Linked DNA regions of Arabidopsis thaliana. The protein of the gene in region 1 interacts with the protein of each later gene in a pairwise test. Each region holds a gene or a part of one and is shown in the gene's direction. Other genes may lie near its edges.

Region 1 (3,340 bases):
GATCCACGAATTCACGACTATCTTCCGATTCTAACTCCGTTTTACTTCAAGGAGAGGAAAAATTCTCTGGAACTTCGCCGGAAACTTGTCCAATTCGTCGTTGGATTCATCGAGAAACGACGATTAGCGATTCGAAATCTCGGCTCCGATAAAACGGCGTCGTCTTTCGCGTATCTTGATACTTTATTCGATCTCAGAGTTGATGGTCGTGAAACGTCACCGTCAGATGAAGATCTCGTGACGCTGTGTTCAGAGTTTCTCAACGCCGGTACGGATACGACGGGGACGGCGATAGAGTGGGGAATCGCGGAGCTGATATCGAATCCGAAGATTCAATCTCGGCTGTACGATGAGATTAAATCAACGGTGGGAGATGATCGAACGGTTGAGGAGAAAGATTTGAATAAAATGGTCTTTTTACAAGCTTTTGTTAAGGAGCTTCTCCGGAGACATCCACCGACGTATTTCACGTTAACTCACGGCGTTACGGAGCCGACTAATCTCGCGGGTTACGATATTCCCGTCGGGGCTAATGTTGAGTTTTATCTTCCCGGTATAAGTGAAGACCCGAAGATATGGTCTAAACCGGAGAAATTTGATCCGGACCGGTTTATAACAGGTGGAGAAGACGCCGATTTAACCGGAGTCGCCGGAGTTAAAATGATGCCGTTCGGAATTGGCCGTCGGATTTGTCCGGGGCTTGGAATGGCGGTCGTACACGTGGAGCTAATGCTGTCGAGGATGGTTCAAGAGTTTGAGTGGAGCTCGTACCCGCCGGAGAGCCAAGTGGATTTCACCGGCAAATTGGTGTTCGCGGTGGTGATGAAGAATCCGTTGAGAGCGAGGGTTAAAGCTAGGGTTTAAGTTTCGTTGATTCCACGTCTTTGATTCTTTTAACTTGACCAAACCCGGTTCAAGAGAGAAAATTCGCATTTTGTCTAATTTGCTTTGGTTTAATTAAATGTTTTCCTACTCTTCAATTACTAAATAGAGCCATGCATATTCGATTTACGTTTGTTTTAGTTGGTTTGCATTATTGCATGTCTTCAAATTAAGCTAGTATAAACTAATAATTTAGATGGTTTGACTAAACCAAATAACTGTTTATTACTGAACCAAATTTTCGATTAAATCACTCTTTCAGAAAAGGAAATTTCTTTGACAAAGGAAAAGGAAACATATACTTATTGGATTAATTAGTGATTAGTAGATTATCACGAAAAGGAAATAGAATCGATGGTTTAACTGAACCAGCCATGGTTAGTTTCAGGTGCTTTTCGAGTTAAGTTTTCAAAAAAGGAAATCGATTGTACTTAGTTTGGTTCGTCTCAGGCGGTTTAAGAGTCATTACTTTCAAAAAAGGAAAATAATTATACTTAGTTCGTTTAATCACTGATTAGCTAATTGTCAGAAAAAGGAAATATAGTCGATTGATTAGAAACGAGTAACAACACAGAGTCTATATATACACGATTAGAAACAGAGAGTAGCCATATCATATTCTTTCGCAACAGGCTAACACAAAAATCTCTCTGTCTTTTTCTCCTTCTCTTTCTTTGTCTGTGAAATCGTGAACACAGAATGGGGGGCGTGAAGAGAAAGATTTCTATAGAGCTGATAGAGAAGAAAGATTCAAGAGCTGTTGCTTTCTCAAAACGCAGTAGGGGTCTATATAGCAAAGCCTCTGATCTTTGTCTTCTCTCCGATGCACAAATTGCGATCATAGCCACTCCGGTCTCTTCCAAATCAAACGTTTCTTTCTACACCTTTGGCCATTCCTCTGTTGATAACGTTGTAGCCGCTTTCCTCACGAATCAGCGTCCTCGGGAAGGTCTAGGGTTAGACTATTGGTGGGAAGATGAGAGGCTTTCAAAATCAGAGGACCTGGAGGAACTGAGAGACGCAATGGACTCGATGTCGAAGATGTTGAAAGATCTGAAGGATTTGCAGAATCAACGAGATTGTGAGGAGGACGTGAAGAAGAAGGGTGTTTTACACGGAACTCATCAAAAGCAAACCTTTAATCCTGAATCATGTTCTGTGAATTTCGATGGGTTTAACAAGAACACTGAAGAATTTGATCTTGATGAAATATTTGATTATGTGTCAACAGCTGAAGCTCTATCGATGAACTTGGACATGGACGATGTCTCTGTGGTGACCACGAATCAAAACCCCGTCTCTGCTTCTGAAACTGTTGAAGATAGAGAATTGGTTGTTCACAAAAATATGGATGAGGACAATATCCACGTGTCTGATATGGACGACAAGGATACGATGCTAATGATTTCTGACAAGAACAATGTTTTACCTGAAAACTTGGATGAATTCGATCAAGAGCTAGATCTTGATCAGCTACTTGATTTTGAGACAAACTATGAAAGCCTTTTGAAGAGTTGTGAGATGGAGGATTATGCCTCGATGGTGACTACAAAGCAAAATCTGTGCTCAAATCCTGAAGCTGTTGAAGATGGAGGATTAATGATTCAAAAAGATTTACCGGAGGATAATCTCTGCTTTTCTGATTATTTCAGTGACTTACATTGCTGATATTTGAAACTCCCTCCAAGATAACAGATGTTTCAAGGATTGCTTCGGTTTATTTTCGTTAGAGATACTTTACTCAAGGAAGGTTCCGGTTTGACTTCAATCAATTTTCCATGCTTCATTGGATTTCTGGGATGTTGATCTAACTCAAACCGGTTCAGTTTTGGTTTGCCTTAACTAATGAAGAAACCATCCTTTTTTCTTTTAAGTTTTGTAGTCTTTTCTATCAACTTGTCTTGTTTTATATGTGTGATGTTTTCTTCTTATATTAAAAGTTTAAAACCAATGAGTCTTACTACTCTTTTTTTCTTGTATCAACTTGTGTCTTGTTTAACTGTGGGATGTTTTCTAATCTAACCAACAAATAATATTAAAACCAATATTGAGTCTTACAACAGAAAACATCTGTCTGACAATCTTTGATTAGGAATGTCTCTGCTTTCTTATTAAGTACCAAAACCAGTCATCATCTAGGCCAGTATTTTGTGATTACTTCATAACTTGAAAACAGATAAAGCTTTACCAAAATAGAGCAGAATGGCTCCATAACAAATTGCAGAAGAACCGGTGCTAATTGATTCCATTCAAAACGTGATGCAGAGAAGTGTTTATATGGCGGGGAAAGTTTGGGAAAAAACACCTTGTAATTGGTTCAAATGCAATGTAGGGGGAGCTTGGGTGTTAAGAAATGAGTTGGGTGGTTTTACTTCACAGTCGCCGGGCGATATTTAGTATAAGAAGTGTAGAGGATGCAAAGCTAAGAGTTTTGCTTTGGTCTATTGAAAGCATGTCA
Region 2 (3,364 bases), about 15 Mb from region 1:
CCCGATAATAATGTCTCTAGGACTCATGGTGATGATGCTGAAAGTGACCGTGTATGTGATAGTGTTTCAAATGTTGATGAAAATAATGAGGCCGTAGATGAGAAAGACGACGATGAAGACGATAAAACAAATGAGGATGAAGAGGAGGGGGACAACAAAGATGGTGGTGGGTATGATGATTATCAGGGTGACGATGGATCTATAGGGGGAAGTACCCTCGATCCTACTATTGATGGTAGTGAAAGTAGTGGCGAAGATTATGATTACAACAAGTGGAACGATGTAATTGTAGAAGAATATGGAATAGGGAATGTTGACGAGAACGTCATTCTCACACCAGGGGAATTCAGTCGTCTGTTGGCAGAGTGTACGTACACAAGTCAGCGTGTACCTGGCGGAGATAACATTTCTCACTCGGGTGACCGTACACCAGTTGTGACTCGAAGAAGTATGTGTCAACATGGTTTGTACCAATGTACCTACACTATAGATTGGGAAGTGTTTTTAAGAACAGAAAAATCATACAACAAACAATGTCTTATCTCAGCCACTGCCAATATTGGTTTAATATTGTATTAATAAATTTTTCTTAATAATTTCATTCACAAACAAAGATGTACGTATATTATTACACATGTACATACATTAATTTACCAACAAAAATGTACGTACATTATTTCACCATCTATTTTTATTTAATTATTATGTATGTATTGAGATTATTGAGATATAAGAATACGTAATAAAATAGTTTGAATTATTAGAAATCGTCTCATATATGTTCCATAAATAATTTCGTGTACGTACACAGAAAAAATTCGATGAAGGGTATAATTGTAATTTTCCAGTCATCTTCAACCTGTGTATCCTTTTCTGCAAACCTAATTTTGCGGCCGTCTTTATCAGTTTTCTCAAAATCTCATTTTTTTACGTTTTGATTACTATTTATAAATAAATCTTGTAAACTTAGAGTATCTTTAGTTTAAAAAGCTAAAGTGTTTGTATCTAGGAGCTTTTTTTTTGCATTTTGTTCATCTCTGAAAACAAGAAATTTGTTCCTCAATTTTGGAGTTCAATGGAGAGATGTCGAAATATGAAGGAGTGGATAATGAATTTTGAACTTCTTTCTACTTCTCTCTCGAATTACTCCGTCTCTTTCTCTTTTTCTTCTTCTTTGTTTCTTTGTTTCAGTGTTTTTTTTTTGTTTTTTTCAAAACTGAACCATTAAGGATAAACCAAAATCACAAAACCATTAAGGGTAAACCATTAAGTTTCAAAACAAAACCAGAAAAACTAAACCGAAATCAAGTGCTGTGTGATTTGGTTGCTCCCATTAAGGGTATTTTAGTCTGAAAACAACTGAAAAGACAAACGGTAAAAACCATATCTCACTTTGACAAACCATGAGAGCAATTCTTTTTTCATCCAGTGAAAATTTCTTTTTATTAAATCTATAAAATACGGAAATCAAATCTATACTCGTATTTCCTTTTCTTACCGATGAGCGTGAGTGGTTATGAAAACCAAATCTTTACTTCTACATCTATAAATATATGATTTTACTCTCCAAACCTAATACATTAGTTTCACTCTCTCAATTTTATTCTTCTTCGCCTTCGTGCTTTCTCTTAACTTTGAACGTGAAAAAAACAGAGAGTTTGTCTTCGAAACCAACAAGAAGATGACTATGCGATCATTACCTTTTTCCTCTTCTTCTTATTCACTCGCTTCCACAAGTTTGAGTAACAGACTTGAGACTATATTCAAGAAAGCTTCAGAGCTTTGCACTCTCTGTGATATCGAAGCGTGCGTCATCTATTACGGACCAGACGGAGAACTTAAGACATGGCCTAAGGAGAAAGAGAAAGTGAGAGACATTGCTCTGAGGTATAGTCAATTAAACGAAGCCTTGAGAAGCAAGAAAAGCGTTAATCTTCATGGGTTCCTGAACAAGAAGAAGAAGAAGAAGAAGAAGGGTTTGAAGAATCCGAACAATAAGAGGAAGACTTGTCTTAAGAAGAACGTGAATGTTTTAAAGTATCCACTCGCTGATCATTACCCTCCCGACCAAGTTTCTCAACTGACTCAGTCCTTAAAACTCCATGTCTCTAAATTCCAAGAAAGGCTTCGATTTCTTGAGTCGCAGAAACAGACAAAACCGGATCATCAGAGTTTAACACCATCCTCTTTGAATCATCAGACCCAATCTTTGAACCCTAGACAGTTTTCGCTGTTTATGTATAACCATGGAGACAATACTCTGTCTCAGATCTCAGTCTCTGCATCAAATTTCAATCAGAATTATTTCTCAGCGTTACTTGAACAATCTGAGTTGAAGAATCAGTTAATGAAGCAGGATGGTTATGATCAGAATCAGAACATGAGGATGGGTGACATCACCAACAACAATTTTCAACTTCCTTACTTCTCAAAGAAAGAAGCGGTACAAGAATCTGTGAACTACTTTGGGATGAATCAGTTGATGCTGAAGGAGTTATATGGTTGTGATCAAAACATGTGTATGGGTAACATCAATAGCAACAGCTTTCAACATCCTTGCGTCTCAAAGGCACAACATTACTCGGCGGTAGAAGGATCTGTCAATAACCAACGACAATCTGAGTTAATGCAGCAGGAGCTTTGTGGTTATGAGCAGAACATGTGCTTTACCAACAACAATTTTCAAGTCTCAAACAAAGAAGCGGTTCAAGAATCTGTGACTAATTTTGGGTTGATGCAGCATGAACTTTATGGGTGTGATCAAAACATGTCTATGGGCAACATCATTAACAACAGCTTTCAACAGCGTCTCAAACACAGAACAAGAATCTGTGAATAACCCCTGGTTGAATCAGTTGATGCAGCATGAACTCTATGGCTATGATCAATGGTGAAGTAGCGGAACAGAGATAGTGAAGCTGTTTTCTTGAGTCTTGATTCACTTGTTAATTTTTATTTTTGAGTACGCTTGTTAATCTGTAGAGATTTCGTTCTGAGTTTTAAAGTTACAACTTGTATTTTCGGTTTAGTTATTACATATATATGATATAAAAACTCGAGCAATCTTTAACTAACATGTTAAATTGAGGCACATCGACGAAACTCAAAACAACAAGCAATACAGTAGCAAGTAGCAGAAACAAGCAAAGCAATCAAACAATTGTGGTGATGAAACATGTAGTAAAGTAAGAGAAGCTTGCCTATTAGTAACATCCAATTAGAATTGTATCACAAAGTAGGGCAAGTAAATCATTTTTGACTAGTGTGTAACTTGTATACTATCTCCATCACTAATGTTCACTCTCATCTCTGAAAATTATGATGGTGTAATAAGAGAACAATAATAAATTCTTCAAACAAAAAA

What was found. The genes of interacting proteins can lie anywhere in the genome.
Region 2: the proteins of AGL99 (region 1) and AGL76 interact in a two-hybrid assay, tested with the Arabidopsis thaliana proteins (one large-scale study listed by BioGRID).

What each region holds. Positions count from the first base shown.
Region 1 is NC_003076.8:1,331,244-1,334,583, forward strand, and holds AGL99 (AGAMOUS-like 99), read left to right. Parts: upstream 1-1,515; 5' UTR 1,516-1,581; coding exon 1,582-2,550; 3' UTR 2,551-2,679; downstream 2,680-3,340. Other genes in the region: CYP77A9 (cytochrome P450, family 77, subfamily A, polypeptide 9), read left to right, coding at 1-864.
Region 2 is NC_003076.8:16,050,198-16,053,561, forward strand, and holds AGL76 (AGAMOUS-like 76), read left to right. Parts: upstream 1-1,681; coding exon 1,682-2,839; downstream 2,840-3,364.